Linked DNA regions of Callithrix jacchus. The protein of the gene in region 1 interacts with the protein of each later gene in a pairwise test. Links are inferred from orthologs where the notes say so. Each region holds a gene or a part of one and is shown on either strand. Other genes may lie near its edges. The genes, in order: DTNB, BEGAIN, CEP63, SPZ1, SNTG2, ZBTB9 and DMD.

Region 1 (4,474 bases):
TGATTGGGTTTTTTTGTTGTGTTTTTTTTGTTGTTGTTTTGTTTTGAGACAGGGTCTTGCTCTGTAATCCAGGCTGGAGTGCAGTGGCGCAATCATATCTCACTGCAACCTGGACCTCCCCAGGCTCAGGTAATCTTCCCACCTGAGCCTCCCGAGCAGCTGAGACTACAGGTACATGCCTCTATGCCCAGCTAATTTTTGTATTTTTTTGTAGAGACAGGGTTTCACCATGTTTCCCAGGCTCAGAAATCTCAATTCTTAGAACTTATTTTATTAAAACATTCAGTTATGTGTAATTAAATGTATGCAATAGAATATCTTACCAGAGTTATTTCTCAAAACCAAAATTTAAAAAAATACTTACAGAGCTCTGATTAAATTATGAGATAGAAGAGTCCCAAATCACTAAAATAACACTGTAAAAGAACGTTTTAGATGATATAAAATGGTATATGTAGTATGGCTCAAATTTTGTTTAAAATATGTTTGAGAGACCAGGCATCGTGGCTCATGCCTGTAATCCCAGCAATTTGGGAGGCTGAGTCAGTTGAATCACCTGAGGTCAGGAGTTCCACAGCAGCCTGGCCAACATGGTAAAACCCTGTTTCTACTAAAAATACAAAAAAAAAGCTAAGAATTAGCTGGGCGTGGTGGTGCATGCCTGTAGTCCCAGCTACTTGGGAGGCTGAGGTAGGAGAATTGCTTGAAACCCAAAGGCGGAGGTTGCGGTGAGCTGAGATCCATCATGGCACTCCAGCCTGGGCAACAGAGCAAGACTCTGACTCAAAGTAAAAAAAATGTGGGAGACAACACAATAGAAAAAGGAGCAAGCATTCTATGGAAGAGAAAACACATGGTCAATAAACATAGAAAAAGATCCTCCATTTCATTCGCATTCAGGAAAATGCAAATTAATACTACAACGTTGTACACCTACTAGCATGGCAAGTTTTAAAGTTTCACAATTCCAAATGTTGGAAAAAAGGCTAATCAATTGGAAACTCCTATACAGTAATGGTGAGAGTATAAATTGGTACAACCATTTTGCCAATATTTAACAGGTTGAAATTCTACCTACCTTATATCCAGCTATTCAACCCCAAAGATACTCTTCATGCATGCACCAAGGGGAATGTGCAATCACTGCACTGTCCTTAGTACTTTTTTTTTTTGGAGGCAGAGTCTCGCTCTGTCACCCAGGCTGGAGTGAAGTGGCATAATCTTGGCTCACTGCAACCTCTGCCTCCCAGGTTCAAGCAATTCTCATGCCTCAGCATCCAGGGTAGCTGGGATCACAAGCGTGCATGAGCACGCCCAACTAATTTTTGTATGTCATAGAGACAGGGTTTCACCATGTTGCCCAGGCTGGTCTCGAACTCATGAGCTCAGGCAATCTGCCTGCCTTAGCCTCCCAAAGTGCTGGGATTACAGGCATGAGCCACCACTCCCAGCCTGTTCTTGAGACTTATGAAAACAATCCAAATGGCCAGCAAGAGAAAAATGAATGTATAAATGTGTATATCTCCACAGTGGAAATATTAAACAGCAGCAAAAATAAAAGAACATTTGCATAACACAGCATGGATAAATTGAACCAACATTTTTCTTCGTGAAAAAAGCAGGAAACATATGACTCATAGCATGTTACCATTTTTACAAAGCTGAAAATCAAATAAACACAAACAATTTCTAAAATTACTTTAATAAGGCAAGGGGAAAAAAAATAAGGCAAGGGAATGATACTCCCACCCCATGAGAGGAAGTGGGAGACTAAGGGGTGCACTTAGGTAAATGACAATTACTGCCATTGTTTATAATGTTTTGATTCTTGTGGGGGGAGTGTAATGTTACATATATTCTTTGAATATATCAAATATAATATTTATCAAAGATAAAGGGAAAAAGTGTGTGTTTACTGTGTTCCTTGAATAAGACTGGATGAATATAAACCAAAATATTTGAAGAAGTTATCTCTGGGTAATAGGATTAAGAATTATTTTAATTTTCTTTGCATTTGTTTGTATTTTCAAACTGTCTTAAATGAACATGTACTTTTTTGGAGGCAGGAAGAAAAATATTTTTTAAAATCTGTGCTAGAACCTGTTCTATTTTCATTCCACAGTCTGAACATCCAAGTCTTAATTACCATAGTGATAAATGATCTGGGGAAGAGATGCGTGGTGGAATCGCCAAGGTCATGTGCCAGGTAGTGAGTGAGCTGAGAGTGGCAGGGAGGAGGCTACAGAAGGATGTGAGCGAGCTGCGTGGGAGGGCAGACACCTGCCCTCCGAGTGTCAGTGTGAGCAGGAGGAAGGTAATAACAGCTGAAGGAAAACAATTTAATGAACCTGAAAACCATTCCTTAAAGTTGTAAATAAAATCCACTGTCCAGCCTGCTCTGGCTTCTAGCTTCCTTCTCCCACCTCCACCCCCATCCCACCAAAAAAACCAAGAACGTGCAGATAGCAATACTCAAAACAAAACATCATAATCGCATCTTTGTATCAAATTATTATACATTGACACCATAATGTGTGTCTCGTTCTGTTCTCTGCCATTTACAGATGGCGTGATAGGACTGGAAGGGGTCCAGGAGAGAGTAATTCAAATGATTAGCAGAAAGAAGGTCCTTCACAGGAGGCAAACAAAAACCAAAATCCATCCTTCAGGGGATGGTGATAGCTTGGCTGCCAAAGGTCCGCACAGTCAGGACACAGACAATGTTGCCGAATCTCACAGTCCCAGCAGTACGGGGTAGCGCGCCATCTGTGTTGACAGAGGCAGATTTGGAAGAAATGAATAGGAACTGCTATTTTGCATGGCAAATAACAATGTGGAAATCCTTACCCCCAGAGGCTGAAGCCTGAGTCCTCGGTCTTGGCCAAATGTGGAATGAAGCTGGCACAGAAAACCAGCTCGAACACCTCTGAGTGGGATTCGGAGGGCGGGGAAGAGAGGCAGCGCTAATGGTGGTGTTGATCTTTACTCTCTGTATCATCCTGTGGATTATGAGAGCCTGTGACAAATTGCATGAAAAACCTTTCAAGACAAAGCTTTCTAAGATTTATCTCGGGAACAGCAGTTGTATTCTTCAATAAAACTGTCCTTAGGTGTCAAGCTGAAATTTGGACTGGCTTGGATAGCTAGCGAGACTTCTGTCATATTTTCCAGGTGCTGGGATTACAGGGGTGATTAGCTATCATTCTGCCATACCATGCAAAGCTCACGAGGCAGGAGGCTTGATGGCACCCCAAAAGATCCCAAGAATTACCCCAAGAAGGCAATCCAGAGGCTAGAGTGTCCGAGGAAGAGTGTCCTACAGGTTTTGTTAGTTTATCAAAGGCTTGTTTATTTATGTAGTGTTGTCAAACACCTGAAAATGTCAACAAATTCTATGTTGACAAAACATTCTAAACTGGCTCAAGGGTAATTCAAGCTGTTCTCACATACCTGTCACCTGGTATGCTTTTGAGAAAATATACCTGCACCCAAAATTCATCTAGATGAACTAATCTTTTTTTTCCAGCCTGTTACCCAGGCTGGAGTGCAATGGCGCGATCTCAGCTCCCAGCAACCTCCGCCTCCTGGGTTCAAGAAATTCTCCTGCCTCAGCCTCCTGAGTAGCTGGAACTACAGGCTAATGCCACCATGCCCGGCTCATTTTTGTATTTTTAGTAGAGACAGGGTTTTACCATGTGAAACCCTGGATCGAGACCAGGATGGTCTCGATCTCTTGACCTCGTGATCCACCTGCCTCAGTCTCCCAAAGCGCTGAGATTCTAGGCGTGAGCCATCACGCCTGGCGGAACTAATTTTTTTTAAGAGACAGAGTCTTGCTCATTGCAGCCTCAAACTCTTAGGCTCAGGAGATCCTCTGGCCTCAGCCTCCCAAAGCACTAGGACCAGGCATGAGCCACTGCACCTGGGCTGAATTTTTTTAAGTGACCCCAAGTGATATAATGCGTAGCCAGGGTCGAGGAGCACTGAGCTTCTCCCATTTGTTAAAGTTAATCATTTGAAGGGTTTCTGGCTGTACAAAGAGTGCAAAGGGCGCTGGAAACTAGCTGGGATAGAAGTAGAGACCATTCCGCCGGCTCGGCGTGCAAGGTCTGAAATACGTCCAGGGTGCCCCTGCATGGTCGTGGGTGAGGGAAGGGAGGCTCAGCTGCTTTATTTTTTATTTTTATGTATTTATTTATTTTTGAGATGAGTCTTGCTCTGTTGCCCGAGCTGGAGTGCAGAGGCATAGTCTTGGCTCGCTGCAACCTCCGCCTCCCAGGTTCAAGTGATTCTCCTGCTTCAGCCTCCCAAGCAGCTGGGATTACAGGCATGCACCACCATGCCCAGCTAATTTTTGCATTTTTAGTGAAGATGAGGTTTCATCATGTTGGCCAGGCTGGTCTTGAACTCCTGGCCTCAAATGATCTGCCCGCCTCAGCCTCCCAAAGTGCTGGGATTCTAGGTGTGAGCCACC
Region 2 (3,090 bases), on another chromosome or scaffold:
GAAGGAAGTCCACACCCAGACACACCTCAGGGAAACCGCAGAACGCCAGAGTCAAAGAGAAAATCTTAAAGAGCTGGGGAAGAGAAAGCAATTTTTTTTTCCAACCAAAGGATCGGCTCCCAGCCTGACAGCCAGTTCCCAGTACCAACAGGAAGCCAGAGCAGAGTGGCAGCTCCCGTGTGCCAAGGAAAAGCCGCTGGCTGACATTCTGTCCGCAGCCTGAGTACCTCTCAAGGAGAAGCGGTCTGAGACGTGAGGATTAGAGGCCAGGAAATCCGTGGGCAGCGCACAGGAGTGTGAGATCAGAGGAAAGAACGGTCATGTCCAGTGGGCTGGGAAAGGCAGGGGAATCCGCACCCTAGATAGGAAATTGGATACTAGGGTGGGGACGGGGTGTGACGTGGGGTTAAGGGGCCCAACTTGGCTGCAGAGAGCAAGGCTGAGGGTGGGGACACCAGGGACTCCAAGTTCCCAAGACCAAAAGGCAGGAGGAGGAGAAATAGCCCAATCTAGATTCTTTCCACCAGTGTCTTTTATTAATGAATGCAAAATACAATAGTAACTGACAGGGCATGCATCAGAGACAACAGGAACGCAAGCTACAGAAACCGGGAGTGGAGGGCCTCATCATGTCTGAGGTAGAGTAAGACGGTGTCAGGGATGGACGTGGGGGCGGGATGAGCGCCAGCCGCACCGGGACATCATCCCCGCCCACCCGGGACTATGGGCCGTGGGGGGGGCTCAGGGCGGCGCGGTGGCCACACTGCGAAAAATGATTTTTAAAACACTTCATAGCCCCAAATTCGTTTCAGCTCCCTCTTCGTGGACACAACTTCTGGGTTTCCTTGTCACTGGCTTGTGGGGGTGTTCTCCCCACTTGCAGAGTCCAGTCTCCATAGGACACGGTCCTTCCCTTCCCTTCCCTTCCAAGGGGCAGGCCCCACGCACCCTCACCCAAAAATAAAGGAGCTTTGTGTTGAAAACGCCAAGGCAGCCGTCCAGGGAGCTGGAGGCCAAGTGCGTTAGAAAGACCCTTTTTCTCTATAAAAATAGTTTCGCTTTATAAAAGGGGGGATGCCCCTCTCAGATGGGGGAAGGACGAGTGTGAAAAACGTTCTAAGTGGAGCTCCATGGGGCGGGGCTGGTGGACACCGCAGTGCGGGGGGATCCTCCTCGGGCCTATGGGGTTGGGGAGGAGAGGAGGTACGGGGAGGAACAGACGCCTGGTTGTTGGCAGGGGCGGGGGAACAGCAGGGGCTGGGGGGTGAGGCCGGCCCCTTGGGGCGCCATGGGCTGGCGGGGAGAGGCCCACAGCCAGGCCTGCACGTGGCGCTCAGTTGAGCAAGGTTCCATAGAGCTGGGCCTTGGTGAGGCTGTCCTTGCGGCTCAGCCCCGAGCTACCAGTCCTCGGGAAGGCCTGCTGGGGGCTGAGGCGGGCGGCGGGGTGCATTTCCGGGGAGGCCTCCATGGAGCTTGGCTCCAAGGAGTCCCTGGAGCCCTGCTCGGGCTCAGGGCTGCTGGTGGCCCCACACAGCTGCACCCCAAGCCTGTCCCCGTCACCCCCCTCACTGGGTGTGTAGCCTGGCAGTGGGTCAGCAGAGCGGCCGGGGCTGAGGCTCAGGTCCCCACCCGCCCGCAGGAAGCAGGGCTCTGCCAGGTGGCCCTGGGAGAGGTCGTCCCCCTCGGAGAAGCTGTCGGCCTTGTAGCTGGCATAGAGTGGGCTGGTGCGGCCGTCGGCCTTCTTGCCCGGGCTGCCCCCGGCCCCACCGTAGTAGCGTTCAGAGAAGCTGCAGGGTGAGGCACGGCCAGCGGCGCTAACCGGGTAGGAGTAGGCGCCGATGTCCTCCACGCTCAGGGGTCGCCACTGGCCCCGCATGTCCTCCCCGGAGAGCCGGGCAGTCCCCGGCTTGGCCCGTAGGCTCCACAGGTTTGGGGGCATCAGGGCCTGCTGGGGACCCGGAGAGGCCGGGAATCGGAAGGTCTCAGCCGGGTACGGTGACATGGTCCGCCCAAAGCCTGGGGCCACCTCGGCCTCCAGCGGGGCTGCCACCGCGGCCGTGGCCTTGGCAAAGCGAGGGCTGCCCTCGTAGGTGGCGGAGGGTGGCTTGCGGTCGAAGAGCTCATCACGGCTGTTCAGGTAGATGGCCTGCTGGGACGCGGTCAGCGTGCTGGCCTGCGCGTGCTCCTTCTCCTCCGACGTGGCACTGAAGCTGGAGTAGGAGCTGGATGTGGGCAGTGAGCCCGCGTAGCCAGGGAAGGCCTCGTGCTGGAAGCCCGCCGGGAAGGCCGCTGCCTCGGCCTCCTCCTCCTCCTCAGCCGCGCTGTCGGTGGAGTTCTGGGCCCGCAGGAAGCCCACGTCGGTCACGGGTGCGTCCACGCTGGGCCGCCGGTCGCGCCGCCGCTCTTCTGGGCAGTAGAGGGCTGTGTCGCTGCAGTAGATGTCTCCCTTGTAGGGGGGCCGCGGGCCTGGTTTCTCCACTCCGTCGCAGAAGGCCAGGTCTCGGGCCGACGCATCGGACAGGCGGGAGGACAGGCTGGCAGGGTCAGGCTTCTCTAGCACCTTGGCGATGACGCAGGTGGGGACGCTGTCGGCATAGGCCGGGTGGCAGACGGGGGAGGGCAGGCTGCAGCCATGCTTCTCCATGTGCAGGCTCACGCGCTCCTGGAAGTCCGAGGGCAGCTGGAACGGGCGCGAGGAGTAGGGGGCGGGGACAGGGTCACTGTCAGCATGGTGGCCCAGTCCTGGCCCCAAAGCTGGAGACTGACGTTAGCCATGACTGACAGGCAGGCAGACAGATGAACAGGGCCTCCCAGCTTCTCATATCACACCCGGGGGAGCGGGACCCTGGAGGCTGAACTGAATAAGCTCCCAGGGGTGTGGGTGCTGTGATGGCCTGGGGATCCCGGGTCACCTCCTCCCTCCCCACTCTGATTGGGCCCAGGAGAGCCCAGAAGCTGCAGTCACCTGGAGAAGCCGGAACCTGGGTCTGATTCAGGCCACACTCAAGGCTGCACATACCCCTATCCCCACCCATTTTGTGCCCAGAGAGGGGCTGACTTGCTCTCCCAGGTGCATGGGTCCTATGGAAG
Region 3 (4,436 bases), on another chromosome or scaffold:
CAGTGCAATTCTACATCTAACTACTGGTTTAGAGCAGTGGTCCTCAACCTTTTTGGCACCAGGGGCCTGTTTCATGAAGAATTTTTCCACCGACAGGGTGAAAATAACATATTTTGTCTTTTTTTTTTTTGTGAAAATTCATATGAAATGTTGTTTGGGGGAAATGGCCAAACCACTTCTTGACTAATATGAATAATACACATGGACATGGTTAGGGACATGGTTTCAGGATGAAACTGTTCCACCTCAGAGCATTAGGCATTAGTTAGTGATTCTTTTTTTTTTTTTTTGGAGACAGAGTTTCGCTCTTGTTACCCAGGCTGGAGTACAATGGCGCGATCTCGGCTCACCACAACCTCCGCCTCCTGGGTTCAGGCAATTCTCCTGCCTCAGCCTCCTGAGTAGCTGGGATTACAGGCACGCACCACCATGCCCAGCTAATTTTTTTGTGTGTGTTTTTAGTAGAGACGGGGTTTCACCATGTTGACCAGGATGGTCTCGATGATCTCTTGACCTCGTGATCCACCCGCCTCAGCCTCCCAATAGTTAGTGATTCTTATAAGGAGCGTGCAACCTAGATTCCTCGCCTGCGTAATTCACAATAGGGGTGTGCTTCTAGGAGAATCTAACCTCATGGCTGATCTGACAGGAGGCAGGGCTCAGGTGGTAGGTGATGCTCACTCTCCTGCCACTCACCTCCTGCTCTATAGCCAGGTTCTTAACAGGCCACGGACCGTAGTGCTCTGCGGCCCCGGGGTCGGGAAACCCTGGTTTAGAGGACATAAAGGCAACACAGATACGTGTTAAAAGATACTGTGCAATGCAATCTGCTAAATTTAGAACTGCAAGGAAAAATAAGGGCCAGTCCTATAGCTATAGCTATGTGGGAACTGTTATTGATTAAAAAATGTCAAATGTGTATCACCCAAAGGTAACAGGCAGACGTGGGATTTTGGTTCAAACAAGCTAACTGTAAGAAGACATTTAGGAGAGAGTTGAAGAATTCGGAATCTAACTAGATATTGACATTAGGGAATTTTTATTAATTTGTATACGTTTAATGACAGTATTGTGGCTTTGTAAAACTGAAAAAAACCTAGCTGGGGGGGGGCTAAAATAACATAGAGATCAGAGATTCAGTTCCTGAAACCTTATGTCAATGTTGGCTTTAGCTGAATTTCAAGTCAAGTAGACATTTTTTGAAAGCAGGAAGCTATGACAGAGTCGACTACTGATGCTGTCACCATCTGCCAGCACAACATAAATGAGAACAGAAAAAACTAAGAAAAGGTCTTTCACCTTTTAACGAGAGGAAATGGCATCAGTACAATCAACATTAATTTTTACAGCTTTTAGATTTGAATCTACATATATTTTAAAAGGCAGTGCGCTTGTTTATAAATCTCTACCTCATTTTAATTTCAGAGCCTTTTTTTACTACCTGATCACTGATAACTACAGTCAAAAGGCAAGATCGATCTACAAATCATACTGCATTCCAAATAATATACACACTTTAGTATATCATTAAGCTACAACTAACAGAAATCTAATTAATGATCCTTATGATTTCTTCTTGTCTAATAAAAGCTAACACATGAGGAACCGTATAAATACGCGTTCCTACCCTACAATACTGCTTCTTCAAAGGAAAAAATTCTTTTAATCAGTTTAATCGGACATAAGGCTCAGGGAAAACTATTTTATGCATATTAGTGTACGGTGCTGAAAGTATAAAAGATGACTAGTATCTGACATCGCACTCATCTTCCTGATGTCGTAAGGGACATAAGAAAAACCACATTATAAGCCTAGATGTACTGTCTTCAAGTGAATGAGCAGGTCCCCTGTGAGATGAATGAAGTAGTCCCAACAGCGTTAGCTACACAGCAGCCCCGGCAGGGAGGCGGCGCTGGGGTACCTGCGCTGAAAGGGATGGTGGGTCCGCCGGGCAAAGTGAGTCCTGGCCGCAGCACGCCGGCCCCCCTGGCCACCCTCCGAGGTGACCCCCACCGCCCGGTCTCCGCGGAAGGGCTGACCACCTGGCAGAGCCGAACCCGCGCGCCGGACGGCGCCATGCCCGACAGCGCCAAGCCCGACTCCGCTGGTCTGCGTGGCGCAGCAGGTAAGGTCGAGGGGCGGGTCTCGGAGGCTGACCCGAGCCGGCTGGGACGCGCCTGGTGACTCGCAGGCTGTGGCGGGAACCAGCCGCAAGCTATGAGGCCACGAAGCCAGGGTCACCACGGCAGCATGGGCCGCCTCCAGACCAGGGCACGCCCGCCCCTTGCCCGTCCGACGTGCGCACAAGCGGTTACAAAGCTGCGACAAGCGCGCCCCCGAACTTTTCCCGCCGTTACCTCAGGCCGGCGCAGCGCACGCGCGCCACCGCCGAGCATACTACCAGCCTCTGTCGGCGCGTTCGTCCCGCCCACTGCCCCCACACTTTTAATTGAAACTCTCCTTCAGACTTCCCCGGCCCGCAAGCAAATGGACTCACCCACATCCGGGAATCCGAGGGAAGAGCGTGGGGACTAGTGATGCTGAGGGCGTGGCCGGAGGAAGCGCCAGCTGCTGTGTGCTGGATGCTGGTAAGGGTTTCCAGCGACCCTGGTCTAGGTCTTGGGGGCGCAGAAATGCGTTCGTTTCTCAGTGTCGGACTTTCCCGTATTCCCATCGGCTGAGGTCGTCACTTTAAACTCATAACTATTTCCCTTACTGCACGTTGTGTCGGGAGGAAAGGGAATTGGGTGGCGCCTCCAGACTTCCCCATCCGCGCTTCCACGTTTGGCACCTCCTGCCTTAGGCCGGAAGCCGCAGCTGACGGGCGGCTTCACGTACGGCGCTGACGGTGGTGGCCTGCGAGGCTCATTTCTAGCGAGGAACAAGGCTTTCCAGCCTTGACTTCAATAAATACATGTTTACGAAGCTATATATATATAATACATAGAGATTGTTAAGACATTCTTCTGTCCTGGGAAACGCTGGCACCGCGTGTCTGGAAAGAAATACATCTGGGCTGTGTGACAAACTCCCCAGTTGGTGCCCTGCTGTGTGCTCAGGGAACTGTGCGATCCTTGGAGGGGTAGGTACTAGGACCGCGCTCAGCCTGGGGTTTGGAGGCGGCCTCCTACAGGAAGCTCCCTGGGACCTAAGATTTTTAGAGGTTCACTGGAATAAAAAGGAAGAGAAAAAAAGAACATTGCAAGCATTGGGACTGTAACGTAAGAAAAGTTTGTTCAGGAAACAGTGGTCGTGCTGTGTGACGAGTACTTGGGACGGTGACTGTGCCCTGGGCATTGATTGTCTTGATGCTTCCGATCCTTCCGGTCCCTTATGAGTGAAGGCACCTTTGCATCTAACCCTGGAAATGGGATGTTGATCTTCAAGAGCTGACGCCTGCTTTAATCTTGAAAGGAAGAGTAGCATTAGTGATGTGGAAAAGGGGATTTTAATTGCCAAGGCTGGAAAATGTGACATGGTTGGAGGTGTTTGGTGAAGGGACAGGTGACAAAGATTGAGGCCAAACTGTGGAAAGATCTAAGAAATCATGGGTAAAAAATGTACCCTTAACAGTTGGAGACAATAATACCTGAGCAGTTATCACAAAGCTGACCTAGCTTGTTTAGTAGATTAAGTTAGGACAAGAAACAGGAGTTCAAGGATAGAAGGCCTATGAAGCTCAAGTGATTTGAGAAAATTGTATTAAAAGGTGGAAAATCTGTGTGGGCCTGGGGAAATGTTTGGATCAGCTGAGGAAAGTGAGAAGGGTATCCCAGGGGACAGAGCAGCAAGGACGAAGGAGTAGCAGCACAAAAGTGGGGAGCTCTTGTAAGACGGGGACTACGAAAGTATAACCAAAACTTCGTCTTGCTTTGAGTTATCCACTGGGTAGTACTGGGTTAATTATTGAGTACTGGATTAATTAAGACCTCACCTGGCTCACCGGTGATAGAAGTAGCAAGACACATTTTGCTTAACTTTTGCCCAGATCCTTATCATGGGGGTAAGAACCCTTGCCCATACCAATCTGTGTATAATTTTTGCCAAGGAGTAGGAATACCTTGCAGTTACCCTATGGGGGACGTCTGTGAGCCATTTTTACAAAAGCTTCCACCTGCTTTGGCCCAAACCTCAGCATTCCTAAGCACAGGAGCTCATGAACATACTGAGATGACACTGAGGTGGAGTATACGAAGGGACCAACTACAGACCAGAGTTGTACAAATCCTCAAGGCAAGGCAATGTCTGAAGTTGAGCTTGTAAAGGAAATGGCTTTATTCCTTAAAAGAGCATCCAGGCCGAGCTCTGAAAAAAGTACCTCCAGGTGGTGGGTTCCACCCTGCTTCCCCAAAATTGCTTCTTCTGTGAATCTCCATAGTCTCAGAAACTGAGAATATCTTTGGTGCCAGTGGCTTCCAGACTTTTTGGATTGTCAC
Region 4 (3,724 bases), on another chromosome or scaffold:
CCTGAAACTCACGAGGCTGAGGCAAGAGAATCGCTTGAACCCGGGAGGCAGAGGTTGTAGTGAGCTGAGATCATGTCATTGCACTCCAGCCTAGGCAATCAGGCGAGACTCCATCTCAAATAATAATAATAATAAATAACTAAATAAAATATAGATATGTCTCTATTCTTCTAAACAAGTTGAGGGCGTCCTTCCCAAGAGCCTCTGCTGCCCAGTATGCCCACAGTTCACTAGCAGAGGAGCAACGGGGGCACATTAAGAAAAGTAGAGCCAGTGCAGATTTATAAGAGAAAAGCAATTTGTTAGGGGTGGATTATTAGCATTTTTAAAATTCCCCCACATCCCCTACTTGTAAAATAGGAAAAGGAAACATATTTAGAAAGGGAGCTATAAAAGGTCACAACTAAAGCACTATATATCTTTTTTTCACTTAATTTTTGTTGTGTTGCCCAGGCCTGTTTCAAACTCCTGGCCTCAAATGATCCTCCCACCTTGGGCTCCCAAAATGCCACTGCACCTGGCCAAAAACACTATACAGTTTTTCCCCCAGAACTCCCCGTCTCCATGAAATGATTAAATAAAGAAAAAAAAAATACTTTCCCTTGTCGTTAGGTCTTTACTTAATTTAGGTCTTTACTTAATTGGATCTTTAACTTCTCACTCTAGGCTGTCTATCTAATAATTACAAAAAAAACGAAGCAGATTATGGAGGTGAAAAGGTGAACTTGATGTAGACACAATGGTCACTTAAGACCAGACTTACATAATTGCTGAGGTAATAAGCAATATAAGTGTTCATCTTCTTATTCTGTAGCTCTTTTTTTGGTTGAACCAGCAGATCTGCCCATGGTTTGATGATTGATCATGCCTGAAGCTGGATGTATCAGATGTATTTTTTAAGGATTCACCTCTTCATCTGCTTTTGATATTTTCTATCTTACGCTGCTAACTGACCTCTTTTTTCTCATAAGAGCTTTTTTTGCAACATGAATATTGAACTGGTTATTGCAAGCTTTCTTATTAAGACAAACATCCAGGCTTCTACAGGATCTCCCCTTTTTCTGAAATGTACCCCTCATTTCTTGCTTGTTCTGCTTATACATTTCTACTTTCTCTGCTTCGGATGGCTTCTGATTTTTCTTGTCCTGTTTATAGTTTATCTGAATTGGCTTCTCTTGCAGAGTTCCCTGGTTCTGATGATGGAGTTCCTTGAGAATCTCTATTCTCTGCTGTAAGATTTGGCATTCATTCTCTAGCAAAGCTGCCACCAACTGCAATGAACGGGTGTCATGGCTCAGTTTCTTCACCTGTTCCTCCAGCTCATGCTTAGCTGATGCTTGATTATTTGTTGGGGTTTGGAAATCGACTCCATTATTTCCGAGAGTTTCACTTATGTATTTCTGAGATTTATGGTAGGATTTTATCAGTTCGCTGAGCTCGGTATGTTGTTTATTCCAGTGTTCTGCTTCCTGTAGTAACTGCTCCATGTTGTTCCTAATTTTCATAGTTTCTTCTTGAACACTAAGGAGTCTGTTTTCCTGACTTTGTTGAGTTTCATTAAGAACATTTTTTTCTTCTAAACGATTTACCAAATCTCTTGCAAAAACTTGTACTGTGTTCTCGAAGTTCTGGTTTTCCAGTATCATCTCCTGTTTCTTTTCATCCTCTTTTTTTTCTGGGTCTAAACTCACAGGCAGGTTTGTTGATAACATTTCATTGATTCTGCCAAGTCCTCTCATGTTTTCTCTGTGGGCTGACACATCCTCAGAAATACTGGTTTCCTCAAAAAGTTCTTTTGCTTCTGTGATCTTCTCTTCAAAACCTGCCATATTTTTAAGAATGTCTTTAATTTCTTTTAAGAGATTGTTAAACTGTGCAGTCTGTTGTTCTGTGACTTGATGGTTGCTATTCTTTAGGGAAGCGAGAGAGCCCCAGAAGGAAGGGGAAAGTGATCCAATTTCGAATAAGGCAATGATAATCTTAGGGTCCAGAGATTCTTGATGAGGATCAGGAGTAGGGTTAAGTGTTTCAGAGAGGGTGGGCATCTCGGCTGACTTAGCAGAGTTGGCCATCAGGACAGAAGGAAAGCGGAAAACCTTAGAGACTCCAGGAAGAACAGGTGATGGTCTTTCATGCAAATGTGGGTGGAGATTGTGGAATCAAGCAGAAGTCAGAGACCAAAGTTAAGGATTAAAACTGAGGAGATGCTGTTTAGGTGGAAGGTGGCATCTCAGACAGCCTTTCGGGGAGAAAGAGTGGGAAAGGGGACTGGAGCTGGGGCTCCATCTCTCCTCCTCTAGGCACCCGGTTTTTATTCTCTGGCCCTAGCAACCATGTCTTTATTGTGTCACTGCACCATTGTGGCCTATCCCCAGCATCTGTCTCCTTTGTGTCACAGTGGAAACCTCTCAAATTCCTGCTCAGTGACTCATGCATCAAAAGCAACCTTGGGCTACCCCTACTCCTCATGCCAGAAAGAACTCTACAACAGCTCTTCCCTCCTTAATTTCTAAATTGCTATTCATCTCAGTCTAAGTGCACTCAGTTACTTCCCTACCTCACTCCTATTCCCCCACAATCCTGACCCCAACCACAGCATGTTTTGACCACTTAAGGGCATGGCTGAGGCCAGTCCTCTCTGGTGAGGTCCCCATCCTTTCATGACACCTAGAGGCTTTATTGCTCCCATTCTAAGAGAGTTGTGACTGTAAAAGAAAGTTATCCATACAAAACAAAACCCCAGACTGCTACACCTTTTGTGATTTTAGGAAAGTAAAGCCAGAGTCCCTCCATTCAAAAAGATTCTACTGCTGCAAGAAGGGACTATCTGAATGGTTATTTATAATAGTAACACAATTACAAACTGGGGCTTTTCTTGGCTTTGAATATAGGCATTCTTCAAGACACGCTTGGCAACCTTGCTCACGAATCATTTACATCAGGTGATAGAAAACTTGAACCATTACTTTTCAGGGTAACTTATTTGGAGATTTTTTTTTTCTTTGGCTATTTTATTGATCTTCTAAGATTTTCACACTCTACACAGTAACTTGTTAAAATGACACAATTATATATCTAAAGTGTTTGATTAGCAGGGTGTTGTGATGTGTGCCTGTGGTCCTAGCTACTTGGGAGGCTGAGAAAAGAGGATTACTTGAGCCTGGGGGGTTGAGGCTGCAGTGAGCCATGACTGCTACTTAGTGCACTCCAGCTTGGGCAACACAGCAAGACTCTATCTCAAAAAATTTAAAAACTGGCCAGGTGCAGTGGCTCACACCTGTAATCCCAGCACTTTGGCCTGGAACACTTGAGGCCAGGAGTTTAGGACCGGCCTGGGCAACATGACAAAACCCCATCTCTACTAAAAATGCAAAAATTATCTGGGTGTGGCAGCACACACCTGTAATCCCAGCTACTCAGTAGGCTGAGGCATGTGAATTGCTTGAACTCAGGAGGCAGAGGCTGCAGTGAGCTGAGGTCAGGCCACTGCACTCCAACCTGAGCAACAGAGCAAGACACTGCCTCAAAAAATTAAAAACTGAAAAGCATTTAAAACAGGTAAATTCTACAATGGGTTACAGAAAAGTAACAAGTTTATTAAACTTCTTTTATTTTAATAAACTGCTTTATTGTCTTTTTGTTCTTAGGAGTCAGGTCTTGAGAATATAGAATACAATCAAAGAAAACATTTCTTACGTATGACTTTTTCCTGGCCTTCAAAATC
Region 5 (4,428 bases), about 24 Mb from region 1:
CATTAAAATAGTTAGTGGGGAAACATGTCTCCTGGTAAAACTGGGTAACTGCTGCTTTATAATGCATGAATTTTGCTTATGATGTCACACACATCAACAGAAATTCTACAACTGAAATTACAGATGAGTCAGCAAAGATGAGAAACACACCCAAGGCAGCGAAGGGATGGGTAACCTTCCAGGTCAGACGCTTCATTTCTCTCATGCAGCAATTCCTATCTGTGAACAGATGGTTAAGTGATGCCCTTACCAAATGCACCTTGAAAACCACCTAACGTAGCCTCGCCTTTCCGTTCATCATATAAATGGGCATGTTCCTAGCTCACGCCAATGATTCTTCCAGCAGCCCAGACTGAAGACGTGTTGTCATTCAAAAGCAGTGAATGTGCTGTAAACACCAATCAATAGTCATGTTTGAAGCTACAAGCAAGACACCCTTAGCACACTGTATTGATGGTTCTCTGCCAGTGGGATTTTACCCAAAAATCCAGGTATGGTCAGAGACAGAGCTCCATGAACTGACCTAACCTAGAAAAAGGCATGGGGGACAGGCGCTTTAAAGAGGAAACAAAACACTTCTGCTACTGAACAGGAGACCTTCAAATCTGGCTAAATTCCATGATTCAAACAAGCAGTCATGATAAAGAATGTGTTATGTTTTTGACTTCAGACAGAAAAAATATAAGATTTAGGCTGGGCGCGGTGGCTCAAGCCTGTAATCCCAGCACTTTGGGAGGCCGAGGTGGGTGGATCATGAGGTCAAGAAATCGAGACCATCCTGGTCAACATGGTGAAACCCCGTCTCTACTAAAGATACAAAAAATTAGCTGGGCATGGTGGCGCGTGCCTGTAATCCCAGCTACTCGGGAGGCTGAGGCAGGATAATTGCCTGAACCCAGGAGGCAGAGGTTGCGGTGAGCCGAGATCACGCCATTGCACTCCAGCCTGGGTAACAAGAGCGAAACTCCGTCTCAAAAAAAAAAAAAAAAAAGAAATATAAGATCTAGAAAAGATGTTTTGTCATCTTTTTCTACGTAAAAGCACCAAGTTCTCTTAACTGAAGTAATTACACAATTTGAATATTATGCAGTTATGGCAAGAAAATGGATAATTCTGCCCAGCTGTCTCTGGCATTAAGCAAGGATGACGCTGCAAGCTGAGAACATTCGTGTTTTGAAGACAAACCTGCCAAAACCAACACTGAACAGTTTCCTTTTAAACAAGTAAGATTCTGGGCTGACATTACCCAGCACCTGTGTCTAGGGCAGCTTTAGAGCACACCTAAGTGTTTATGACTGCAAAGTTAGGAGTCTTGCTCTTAAAATGCTCCATCTTGTAGCATTTGGCCTCGAACGCTGAAAAAACGTTTCTTTCCATTCAGTTCGGATAGGCTGTTTTCAATAATCGAGGCCGTTATTACAAAGAATGCACCAATCACATCTTGTAGCAAACAGGTGAGTGGAGGCCGCCCTTGAAAACACCAAATTGAGCACCTTAATTAACACTGAGCACAAAGGAGACCATTTACTAGAATACGCGCAGTTGATGCACGTGTAGAAGTTATCGCCAATAATCCCTCAAGTGGGTCAATTATGAAGTGTGATGCCTCCACTTCAAAGCTTCCGCTATATCTGCAATGATTAAAAGCAAGACTTGTTGCAAGAAAGTCTCGAGAAAAATGCACAATCCCTAACCATGGGAGGGCATCGCTTTAACGCTGAAAGCAGTGGAGAGCCTGGGATTCCGGGGAGGCCGCAGCTCCTCCTGCAGTCGCTTCCCAGGTAATCCCCGCATATCTCCTCGGGTTGGATGACCCTGGGCCACCGTGGGATAGATACTCATATTGCAAAGTACTTCAAGAAATAAACACCCGCTTTTACATGAAATTTCATTTTCACATGTTGTGTAAAAGCCCAGAAAGGTATGGCTTGAATGCAGATGCATCTATGTCCACACGGAACAGAGTGGCTGGGACCACGGTCGCAGTTTAGAATCATTGCCATGAGGACAGGAGTTTGCAGCAGCCCCAACCTGTGGCCTTCCGAGCCGTCTCCGGGGCCCTACAAAGGGGAGCTAAGTGTACTCCTGGTCGCTCCTGGGGCTGGGAGCTCGCAGGGAGGGGATCCCGTCGGCGGCTTCCCGGGACTGGGCGGCCACGTGCCCCCCGAAACCGTGTTCAGAATCGGGGCTGTGCTGTGGGAACTTGAAAGCTTCCAACAACTTTTCGTTTTTCTTTGAGCCAACGTTTGTTTTCTGTCAATCAATAGTTAATTTAAAAATAAGAAGGTGGAGAGGGAGTTATTTAGGGCAGGAGCTAGAATCGACTTCCAAAAAGACATCTCTGTGACCAGCTGGCGTCCCAGCGACCCCGGAATGGCCGGGAACCCCCAGCACGGGCCGAGGCGGCGCCGCGAACCCTCAGGCTCCCCCAGGCCGAGTCGCACCAGCCCGGGCGCCCGAGGCTGCAGGGGGGACGCTCGGTCCGCGCGCTCCGCGGGGCCCACCAGAGCTGCCCCTGGAAGAAACGCGGCGCCCAGTCGGAAACCCCAAACTCCGGAAAGCGCCACTTGACGCAGTGAAGGGGAGCCCCGCGCCTCGGAACAAGCCTTTCCAGAGGGTCCAGGCGCAAACCCCACAAGTTTCCCGCTGAGACGCCGCGCAGGAGAGGGCGGAGCGCGGGGCGGGGGTCCAGGGGGTCCTGGCTGACCGCGGCGTCCCGGACTCCGGAGCCCTCCCAACGGGCAGCCGCCCCTGGAGGGAGGGAAGGGGCGCGGGGAGGCCGAGGGGCGCGGAGGGAGAAGGAAGGGGCGGGGGCGGGAGGGACCATACTCACCGGCACAGGCACCAGCAGGCAGCCCGGGCGTCCGCGGGGGGCGGCGGGAAGCGGGAGTCCCTCGATGCTCATCGCCCAGCTCAGCGCCAGGACCCCACGCGAGCCTCCAGAGTCCCGCCGGGCGCCGCGTCCGAGCCCCTCTGCAGGCTCCGGCTCGGGTTTCGCGCGCGTCCGTGGCCTGGGGCGCGGGACTGGGAACCGGGAGCTCCGCCCACGAAGTCCCGCCCCGGGCGAGGGAGGGGCGCGGCGTAGCCGGAGTCGGGGTGCCGGGCGCGCGGCTCGCGGGGAAGGGCGGCGTCTGGGGGCACGGGGCGTTCCCTGGGGTCGGAGGGACCTTCGAGGGGCCGGCGGGGCTGGAGGCGGAACACGCGCTTCTCCCGGGCTGGGTACCCAGGTCCGCGTTCCAGGCCCCGGCGCTCCTTTGAGGCGCAGGTGGGCGCGCTCTGGACCGGCCTGGCGACCCCTCCCCGCCGCCCCCGCCCCGGCCCAAGGTCCTCAGCTTCTCCTCGGGGACGTTTCCAACCGCAGCCTCGGGGTCCCCGGGCGCCCCCAGCCCTCTGGGGTCCCCACACCTTCGCCGGCCGCAGCCCTCAGACCTTCCTCCGGCGTCTCCCCAGCAATGGGGGAGCCCGGAGGACCCCGAGGACTGCCCGGCCCGAAGAAAAGACAGGGAGTCCTCCCCTTCCCCCAGCGCCGCTCCCGTCGTCCTTCTCCCTCCATCGCCCCAAAGGTCCGCGGCCCCGTCCCGCCTCCGGGGCGCGGCGTCTCGCGAACCCTGCGGGGACCCCGATCTCGGCTGCGGCGGAGACGCGGGTCCCCCGTTCACTCAGCTTTGCGCCCAGAGGAGCCTCCCCGACGCCCGCACGGGGTTCCCAGACTCAAATCGGCCTATGTTAATGTAAATGAAGTAAGTTTAGGGTAAATTCCCGTGGGGCGGGGCAGTGAGGGGCGCACAGGCCACCTACATTTTTAGAAAGAAGCTGGCGCCCCTTTTCCTCCTTTCCAACCCCCTCCGTCCTCCAGGCCAGGCCTGGGCGCGGGCGCGTCTCGGAGACCCGGACGCCCCTGTCCCTCCCGCTCCGAGGCAGCAAAAGCCGCGAAGTCTGAGGCCTTTGGAGGAGGTTCGCCCTCTAGGAGCAGAACTTGAGTGAACAAATAAACGTTGAAAAATCGCTGTGAAACGCTTTCCTTTTTCTGACTCCGACTCGCTTGGCCGCCGGCAGACCTGGGTTTCGGACCCGGGCGCCCCCCCATCCCCCCATCTCTGGGTTCCAGGGCGGCCTGCGGGGGATCTCAGGGCTTCTCAGCACCACCTTTACCGGAGCCAAACGCAGTGTTTTCTTTTTCTTTTTGAGACGGAGTTTCGCTCTTGTTACCCAGGCTGGAGTGCAATGGCGTGATCTCGGCTCACCGCAACCTCCGTCTCCTGGGTTCAGGCAATTCTCCTGCCTCAGCCTCCTGAGTAGCTGGGATTACAGGCACGCGCCACCATGCCCAGCTAATTGTTTGTATTTTTAGTAGAGACGGGGTTTCACCATGTTGACCAGGATGGTCTCGATCTCTTGACCTCGTGATCCACCCGCCTCGGCCTCCCA
Region 6 (4,541 bases), on another chromosome or scaffold:
ACTGTTAGTTTAGGTTTTGGGGCACAGTTTATTCAAAAACTTTAAGTAACTGCAAGTCCCACCCCCCATTCCAATATCTATCCCCTCCATCTCTCAATGAAGGGGCTATCATACGTGGGTGAGATGGGAAAGGAAGGGGTATGGTCCTACTATACAAGTTACTCTCCAGCCTTCAGCTTGTGCTGTCTGAAACCTGAGTCCCTCTGACCAAGGCAACTTGTTCAGAGAGAAGTGGTGCCACCCTGAAAGCACTTTAGGACAGTGCCATCTCCTGAGTTCACTGGTGACAGTTCAGTCACTGTGACAAATACGAGTTATCAGTGGTGGTCAAAGGCAGACCAGAGGCACAGGCTGTTGAGGGAATACCCTCTATTAAAGAAGGTTCTAGGAATGAAACATGGAATGCTCAACTTGTTGAAGGGCTCAACTACAACATTAAAAAAGTGGTGGGAAGGTGTCTACTGGTAAGAAAGCAAGGTACAACGTGAGGGGCTCCTCAAAAGACACAATTTTAAAAGTACACAAAAGGAACTCTGCTTAAATGATTCCAGCAATAAGGGAAAAAAAGCTTAGAGCTTAGCCTCTGAATTACTCAAGCTCTGAATCAAATGTATCTCTAATTCAAGACCAACTCCTTTAATTCCTCATGGAGACTGAATAAAACATTTACCACTCTTTTGCCCTAACTCTTCTCTCACTAAATAATCGAAAATCTGGCTTCCTTAATGGACATCACCACTACAAAAAGGTCGACCATGGGCAAGTGATCAACTTGAGTATGAATGGCCTATAAACCAATTTCCTGCAGGGTTCCCTAACCGAAACCCAGGGTGAGATGAGAAATTTGAGTTTCCACATCTGCCAGGCTGAGAGGCCCTTATCTAAGAACAGGGCCATAATGTATCTATTCTCTTGGCTTGATTACAAGATCCATGACTGGTGTGCCATGGTAATGAGGGGTAAGTATCCATTGGCAGCAGTGGTTATCTTGTCCTAGAAGCTAGTGTATAGCCTCAGCAGTCACTTGTAAGTCCAGTGGGCAGTGGCCCAACCCTGGCCCTTGCATAGGTCCCGGTGGCGGAGAAAACAGGCATGGACTCTGAACCGACGGCCACAGTGGGGACACGCATGCAGGGCTCCAGCATGTGTCTTCATGTGCTCTGTTAGATGGTGCTTCAGCTTGAAGCGCTTGTTGCAGATGCCACAGCCAAAAGGCCGAAGGCTGAAGGTCAGCATGATGTGCCGGTCACGCTTTGGCTTCACCGCAAACCGCTTTCCACACAGGCAACCAAAGCGTTTTCCATCTGCAGGGGGTGTCCCCCCTAGCTTCACAGGCCCATGCACAGCCTGGCCTGCTCCCCCAGGTCCTCCGCCCCCTGATAGGATTTCATTCCCATGAAGATCCACTGGTTTCCAGGATGGACCCCCTCCACCAGATGTTGGCCCTGCCCCTGAAGGCAACAAGAACCCTAGCTCCCCATTCCCTTCAGTGTCCCCTCCAGAAAACACTTTGGTCTCTTCCTTTGCTCCTCCAGGCTGAGTTCCACCACCTGATACCTCCTCCTTAGGCTCAAAGGGTTCCTGCTTAATGTAGCAGATTTTTGGGGGTAGTGCAGTAGGAGGGGCAGGAAGCTCAAGTGGTGCACTCTCCCCCTCTGGAAGCTTTCGGGGAGTAGCAGTCATGGGCAGTGGGTGGGGTCCATGAGGATGGGGAAAAACCCCTGATACTCTCTGGGGCTGAGGAGTCTGAGTGAGTGTGGCTGACCCCTGGTCCTCTTCATCATCTTCTTCCTCCTCCTCCTCTTCTTCTTCCACCTGAATTTGCAGCACTTCTCCCAGTTCACTTCCCTCCCCTCCCACAGGGCTCTCGGTGGAAGCAGGGCTTTCAGTGGAAGCAGAGGACTGCACTGGGGTCTGGAAAGGGGAAGAGCGAATGCACCAGCCTCCTGTAGAGGATGCAGTGGAAAGAACTGCATGGTAGGAGGTTGCTCCACGGGCTGAAATTCCACCACCTGAAGTTTCTAATTCTCTAAGAATCTCTGAGCACTGATCTACTACTTGCCACATTTGAAGGCCACTGGCCACAAGGAGATGAGCAGGGAGAGCATCCAGTGGTAGGCGGAGACGCCCTGAATAAATGAGCTGGAGTAGCCCCTCGAAGGCATCGGCTTCAATGACACTCGGCAGAGTGAGACGAGGCGCATCCCCTAGAAGCAGCTTGTCATGGAAGTAAGGAGAAGCAGCAGCCAACACTGCTTTGTGAGCTCTAAGTTCCCGACCCTGCACCAGGAGGGACACATCACAGAACTTTCCCTCTAGCCTGTGGCGGTTCAGAGATTCCAGCAGCGAAGAGCTATGCTGCGGGAACTCGATCTGGATTGTCCGCGGGGCTGGGTTGCAGATCGGGGAGGTGGGTACAGGGGGCAAAGGCGTCGGGGTTTCCATGGCCTCCTCGAAGGTGAGAAGGATTGGAAAGAGGAGAGGGGGCCTGGGGGTGGACTCCACGCGGGATGAAGGCTGTAGAGGAAAGACACAGAGGTCACAGAAGCCCTTGATAGGGGGAGCCACATCTCCTCAAACAACCCCCTCCCCCCACCAGCAATAATTGGAAACTTTTCGTCAGTGGCGGTTTCTGCAAATCAGTCCCGCACACCAAGAAAGCAAACAAACCACAACAGCAACAAAACACCAACCGGGGTTTCAATTTGCAGCCCCAGTGAAAGATGAGAAGGAGGTCCTTCAGCCACGAGCCTGCTTTCGCCCGCCCAGAACAGCTCCTGCCCTGCCGTTCCGCCTCAGAGTGCTCACAGAGGCTGGCTCCCGGGAAGACGCGGTCACCGGACACCGCGAGTCTCGGCCCTGGTGTCCTTCCGCCGACACGCCCCCGCAGTTACACACGCGGCGCTGCCCTCACAGGTACCGTGCGGCTACATCACCATCCCAGGCCGGAAGCCACGGCCTCCGGGCCGGACGCCGACGCCGAGTGCGGCAGGCGGAGCTAGAGCCCTAGCCAATCGAGGAATAGCAGCCTAGAAGCCCCGTGTCGATTGGCTACCGCAGACGAGGAGGGCGGTGCTAGGAGGAGGCCGCTGGCCCAGAGCGCCGGCGGAACGGGCGTCCTGTGTAGTTGCGGAAGTCCTCGCCGCCGCAGAAAACCGAGAGCCAGGGCCCGGGGGAGGACATCCCGGTCGGAGGGGGCGGGCCGTCAGCCGCCCCCGGAAAGCTGCGTTTCCCGGTGATTAAGTGTAACGCCTGCCCCCGGTAGGTCCTGAGAGGAGCGAGATTAGTTGAGCACTTACCTTGTGGGCCCAGCACTTGCCCACGTCACCTTGGTCCTCCCACCGGCCCTGCGAGGGTAGAGGTTGCCGTCCTCAGTTTCCAGGCGGGGGAAACGGACTGAAAGCGTCACTTAGCTAATAGTAGTGGACCTGGGACTGGAACCTGGATTTGCTGAAGAACCGGGTTCTTTATTCTGCACGGGAGCATTTTAACCAGCTATTAAAGAAACCTAATTTCTAGGTAATTTTTAAAAGAAATAAATGTGGATATATACATAACTCTTTTATAAGATAACGCCGCCGTTCCTGGCCTTGGACTAAGTGAAGCAGTAGTGAGAGGAGAGTTAGACTGGAGTTCGGCCAGTGCAAAACTCCTGCTCTAAAATATAAAAAATCTCGTTGGGAGGGGAGAGTGACAGTCTATGAGGTGAGTGTGGCATCAGGTGGGGATATAGTTTTTCTCCCAGGCTGTCAGCTTCCTTTCAGAAAGCAGATTTTACCACCCTAAAGGTCTGTCTGGAAGGCCCTACCTCAGAAAGTCAGCACAGCGATAAAAGAACAATCTCCGTTTATTAAACATGTTTTTTCTGTTTCACCACACACTCCAGAAAAAAAGGAAATGGGGCTGGGAGTGGAGAAAAGGGGACAGTGAGGAAGGATAGATAAGGCTGGGAGGGGGATGGGGAGGGAGAACGAGAAAACAAAATAAAACAGGTAGGAAGAGCATCTCCCTACCCTTAAGGTGGTGGGTGGGGAGGGAAGCAGAGGGGCGGGGGGGAGGGGGCCAGGAAGCTCTGTACAGAAGGGTTGCCCCCAGCCCACACACACACACCCCGGATATGTACAGTACAAACCCCAGATAATTACAACAGCCAAAGAGAGAAGGAAGGTTGGGGAGGGTCCAGGGGTAGGGCCTGAGATGGGGAAAGGGCACAGGGATAAAATTTCACATATTTACAAGTTTTATATAAGTATAAATTTGGCCCCGGCTGGGTGTATGTGTAGGGGATGGGACTGAAGGGGAACTGTCCATACAAAAGAAAGAGGGGTAGAGTCTAGGAGAGTCTCAATACCAAACGCAAAAAGGGATGAAGGGGGCAAGGCTGGGTAGGGGACAGCAGTCAGGGAAGAGGGGGTGCCAAGGAGGGGCCTCTCCCCTCCCATGGCCTACCCACCCCAAACCCCATCCATCCTACCTCCCCTATCCCGCCAGAGAACTATGTACAGAGAAACACCGAAAAATTGTGGAGCTGGCGGGAGGGA
Region 7 (4,308 bases), on another chromosome or scaffold:
AACTCACAGTACTAGATAAAAGGGGACTTATACACTGGACAATATTGTACCTCGTTATATAGAAGGACATTGATGCTAACATGTAGACTTAGAGCCAAATAAGCCCCCAAATCATTTTTTTACTTTTTTCATGTTGTTCTATGAAAATTTTGCTTATCTGCATATTTAGACAATCACACTGAGAAGAAAGCTGGTAACCTACAGAAAAGAATGTTATAAATCTATTTTGAAAGAAGTAAATTAAATACAATTACCTTAAAATTAGGCCTTATGTTTTAGTTCATATACATTTTGCTGGGGAAATAGCAGTTATGACAATAATATTCTAAAACACAAAATGAATAATTAACTATTAAGGTAAACATCACAGTCTGACTCAATATGTTTTTTTTATTTTTATCTGTTACTCATTTCTGCGGCAAGCAGTTGAATGTTTGACATAGAAAAATGAGTCTGTCACTTTAAAAAATGGTACAATAAAAACACTCAAACAAAAATTTTAGTAGGGATTATTATAACTGTAAAAGGAATATCTTTCTAAAAAATATTACCAGTGTTTCCTATCAATTTTGGGCTCGCCTGTTGCATAAAAGTAATAAGGAAGAAGACAAAGTGGACTTCTATTGGCAAAGAATGATTTACATGCTGAATGACACAATACAACTGTATTCATTTAATACAGGAAAAAAAAGCCTTTAATTAGAACCATTAAATGGTCATTAACTCATTGTCTAAGAAAACGGTGTTTTAAGAATTGGCACCAGAGAAATGGAAAATAGAATAATTTGGTAGTAAAGAAGTTTTATCATAATTCACAACTGAAATTTAGGATTTGAGAAAAATTTATTTACTCCATTATAAGAGTGTTCTTTATTTCAGCAGGAAAACTTGTCCCATGAGACCTACACAGACATTCTGCCTTCAGAATTCAGCTGCTGAATTCTGCTGCTGCTTTTCTTATTCAAACTGTTGGCATCATCAATACATGACTTTTGATTGGATCCCAAGGGTAAAAAATAACTTTGGTAGACAGCAGATACATAACAAATGCATAGATTATTCTGGGCATTTCTTTCTTTTGGTAGAGTGAAATTTTTGGTGTTGTTAAGAAGGGGAAAAATGCATTTAAAAGTCAATTTTGAATCAGGATTTTCTGCTCTGTTATTTTGTAAATTCACGTAACAGTTACAGAAAATATTGTTATGGTTTGGTACTGAATAGTTTTTGTGTTTAGAAGGCTTTAAAAGCAAATACTATGTCCACTGTGCTATTCTGGTTTGGATATTAATCAGAACACAGTTGAGCATTATTTGAATTCACAGAGCTTGCCATGCTGGAAGCACAACCTTATATGTAGTGACCATGGACAGTCCTATTATGGGAAACCAACTTGAGAGAGAAGGCGGGTCACTTGCTTGTGCGCAGGTCCTGGAATTTGAAATATCCAGGGGCCTCTACAGAATCCTGGCATCAGTTACTATGTTGACTCACTCAGTGTTGGGATCACTCACTTTCCCCCTACAGGACTCAGATCTTGGAGGCAATTCCCTTCAGAGAAAAACGAATAGGAAAAACTGAAGTGTTATTTTTTTAAGGCTGCTGAAGTGGATTGGTTTCTCGTTGTTTTTAAGCCTACTGAAGAAATAAAGTTTGAAGAACTTTTACCAGGTTTTTTTTTTTTAATTGCTGCCTTGATATACACTTTTCCAAAATGCTTTGGTGGGAAGAAGTAGAGGACTGTTGTAAGTACAAAGTAACTAAAAATATCTTTTACTGTGCCATAACGTTTAGTTTGTGACAAGCTCACTAATTAGGCATATTGATTTTAAGTGAGTAGTTTGCAAAGAAGCATAAATGTTATATATACTGCATATATATATATTTTTTTCAGGTATTATATTTTTCATTGGGAAAACCTTTCAACAGAAATGGAGTTTAAAAGAGTTTTTTTGTGATAGAATTAAACACATAATTTCTTGATTAAGAAACCACTGAAGTAATAGAATATGCAGAATGTCATTTGAGTATAACAGACTATTTTGATTGCTGTGAGATAGTTTGTATTTCTGAGTTATTATTTTGATTAGTTGGTACTTCTGTATTTAGTTACAGTTACATAAAGGTTACTGACCTGAGATATATTCTCAATTGAACTAATTACTGTATAGGAACTACATGGAGGCCTAAAAGTTAGGAAAAGTTTGTCTGACATATCATGGGGGAAATAAAGGATAATATGAGTTGGGATGGATAATTGGAAGATGGGAAAAGTATTGACAAGATTTAACTGTAATGTTTCTTACTCATATTTACTATTTCAAATGCTCTTTTCTGTAGTGTATTGTGATAACTTTTTCAAATAATTATTTCAAACAAATCACACAAATAATGATATGATCTATGCTCTCAAATGATCAGATGATCTCTTCTTGGGAAAACAACATACAAACTTGAGGAGATCCTAATTATATTTCATAGTAAAGTTACCATGTTGTTTCATGTCTATTATGAGCTAGCTTTTCAGTACAACTTTTTAGTCTGGCTTTCATATAGAAATGCAACTATTTTGTGTATTTTTAAGAAAGCCATGATGACTAATGAAGGATTTAAAAAGGGACCGAGGCACAACAGTAAAAATAATGTACAATAAGGATTGTGTGTCCCAGAGATGGGAGATTATCTCTTCCTCACCCATCTTTGACTTGTGGAATATAGTTATTCTAAAATAGGTATGAGGGCAATGCCTATAATTAAGAATGAAAAAATAAATCTTTCTAAATAAGTAATACTCTACAACTTCTAAAAACAAAATCAGAAGTTTGCCACTGTGAAAAATTTGTGGAAATAAGTTAACATTGTCCATGTATTGATTCACATTAAAAGCTATCAGATTTTATAATATAACAGTTAACTTATATTGTTTCCTTACTTCATAAATCTCTTTTGGTGAGCATCATTATTGCTTTCAGATTGAAAAACTGTTATACTTACTATCATTACAAAAATATGCATGGTATATATCTGTAGTTTGCAACATACACACATATTTTTTATTTGTTGTTTTTATTTCTTTGATATTTATAACATAAATACTATCAAAATCACTAGTGATTATATATATATATATATTCTACATAATTAAACTCATACACAAGTATATAATGCAATTTTGAAAGAATAGATGCAATTATGCTGGAATAAAGCAAGGTAAACCTACACTCTGTTTTGTCATAGATACTCAAATAACTCTCAATTCTTAGAATGTGAAGAAAGCTAATCATTTTGGGACATGTCCTGTAGGATTTTTTCACACTACATTTAAGAAATCATCAAGTAATGCCTATGCCACATGACAATGAATTTGTTAAGAAAAAAATAGAGATATTCTCAGGGTTATTTTATACATTAAATTTTGCTGTTTGTTAACATACTGCTATTGGGATGTTTGACATTTGAATCCAGTTTTAAAATTTGCCTTAGTTTGAAAAACTTACAAAAGTACATTTTGTTGTTTTTAACCAAATTAGCTACCCGTTAAAACAGATCACTGTATTGTCAAACACATTGAATTGTTTACTTTTAGAATTACTCAAATAATGCATTGTAAAGAATTATTCAGGCAGTGTATTGCAAACAGACATTTCATTTGAATATATTTAAATGATGTAAGTCATCTTGAAGTCTACTAAAATCGTCATTTAGAATTTCATTTGCAGAATCTTAAAGGCATTTTAACTATGAAAAAGAGATTGCTAATCTAAATTGATGATACAATGTTTAATACAAAGCTTTTGGTGTATCTTACATGGCATTAGATTATGAAAAATACATTAGAGTATGTCATATGTATGTTACTCTAAACTTTAAAAAAGACTACAAAGTGTTTCATGCATAATTACATTATTTAAGGGAAAAAAGATGTTGGTTGACACTATTCCACCTAGGCAGCACTGAATTGCAAATTCATAATTTGGGCAGAGATATTAATACAGCTTCCTCTTTAGTCCTATAGTATTCATTTGAAATCCCTGTGCTCCACGTCATTTGCTACGTAGGAAACAAATTGTCAAGTTTTTAACCACTTGTGTTGTTTAATAAAAGAGATTAAAATCATTGTCTTGGAAACATCAGGTGTTTTTCAAAATTCTATTTTATTATCTTTCATCACAATTTTATCTCAGGAGAAAAACAAAGTGACTTCACGAACTTTTCTTCTCCTTCCACCTTCTATTGTAATAATTTCCTAACTTATTGAAAATGATTTATCATACTTTTTCTTCAATTTATTCTTTATTTCATCACACATAC

What was found.
Region 2: the proteins of DTNB (region 1) and BEGAIN interact in binary tests that used the Homo sapiens proteins (3 or more experiments, as listed by UniProt). The two-hybrid records come from large-scale screens. The link is inferred for Callithrix jacchus from reciprocal best matches to the Homo sapiens genes DTNB and BEGAIN.
Region 3: the proteins of DTNB (region 1) and CEP63 interact in binary tests that used the Homo sapiens proteins (3 or more experiments, as listed by UniProt). The two-hybrid records come from large-scale screens. The link is inferred for Callithrix jacchus from reciprocal best matches to the Homo sapiens genes DTNB and CEP63.
Region 4: the proteins of DTNB (region 1) and SPZ1 interact in binary tests that used the Homo sapiens proteins (3 or more experiments, as listed by UniProt). The two-hybrid records come from large-scale screens. The link is inferred for Callithrix jacchus from reciprocal best matches to the Homo sapiens genes DTNB and SPZ1.
Region 5: the proteins of DTNB (region 1) and SNTG2 interact in binary tests that used the Homo sapiens proteins (3 or more experiments, as listed by UniProt). The link is inferred for Callithrix jacchus from reciprocal best matches to the Homo sapiens genes DTNB and SNTG2.
Region 6: the proteins of DTNB (region 1) and ZBTB9 interact in binary tests that used the Homo sapiens proteins (3 or more experiments, as listed by UniProt). The two-hybrid records come from large-scale screens. The link is inferred for Callithrix jacchus from reciprocal best matches to the Homo sapiens genes DTNB and ZBTB9.
Region 7: the proteins of DTNB (region 1) and DMD interact in binary tests that used the Homo sapiens proteins (3 or more experiments, as listed by UniProt). The link is inferred for Callithrix jacchus from reciprocal best matches to the Homo sapiens genes DTNB and DMD.

Annotation. Positions count from the first base shown.
Region 1 is NC_133515.1:89,527,178-89,531,651, reverse strand, and holds the start of DTNB (dystrobrevin beta), read right to left. Parts: upstream 2,895-4,474; 5' UTR 2,848-2,894; intron 1-2,847.
Region 2 is NC_133509.1:135,437,971-135,441,060, forward strand, and holds the end of BEGAIN (brain-enriched guanylate kinase-associated protein), read right to left. Parts: intron 2,681-3,090; coding exon 1,334-2,680; 3' UTR 515-1,333; downstream 1-514. UniProt on the Homo sapiens protein: May sustain the structure of the postsynaptic density (PSD).
Region 3 is NC_133518.1:49,699,465-49,703,900, forward strand, and holds the start of CEP63 (centrosomal protein of 63 kDa), read right to left. Parts: upstream 2,802-4,436; 5' UTR 2,675-2,801; coding exon 2,358-2,674; intron 2,316-2,357; exon of another isoform or gene 2,079-2,315; coding exon of another isoform or gene 1,922-2,078; intron 768-1,921; coding exon of another isoform or gene 697-767; intron 1-696. UniProt on the Homo sapiens protein: Required for normal spindle assembly.
Region 4 is NC_133503.1:130,655,671-130,659,394, forward strand, and holds SPZ1 (spermatogenic leucine zipper protein 1), read right to left. Parts: upstream 2,321-3,724; 5' UTR 2,073-2,320; coding exon 933-2,072; 3' UTR 763-932; downstream 1-762. UniProt on the Homo sapiens protein: Transcription factor that binds to the DNA sequence 5'-CANNTG-3'(E box) and the G-box motif. May play an important role in the regulation of cell proliferation and differentiation during spermatogenesis.
Region 5 is NC_133515.1:114,023,119-114,027,546, forward strand, and holds the start of SNTG2 (gamma-2-syntrophin), read right to left. Parts: upstream 2,999-4,428; 5' UTR 2,906-2,998; coding exon 2,834-2,905; intron 1-2,833. UniProt on the Homo sapiens protein: Adapter protein that binds to and probably organizes the subcellular localization of a variety of proteins. May link various receptors to the actin cytoskeleton and the dystrophin glycoprotein complex.
Region 6 is NC_133505.1:41,686,729-41,691,269, reverse strand, and holds ZBTB9 (zinc finger and BTB domain-containing protein 9), read right to left. Parts: upstream 2,948-4,541; 5' UTR 2,809-2,947; exon of another isoform or gene 2,694-2,808; intron 2,518-2,693; 5' UTR 2,446-2,517; coding exon 1,021-2,445; 3' UTR 9-1,020; downstream 1-8. UniProt on the Homo sapiens protein: May be involved in transcriptional regulation.
Region 7 is NC_133524.1:34,128,678-34,132,985, reverse strand, and holds the start of DMD (dystrophin), read left to right. Parts: upstream 1-1,469; 5' UTR 1,470-1,711; coding exon of another isoform or gene 1,712-1,742; intron 1,743-4,308. UniProt on the Homo sapiens protein: Anchors the extracellular matrix to the cytoskeleton via F-actin. Ligand for dystroglycan.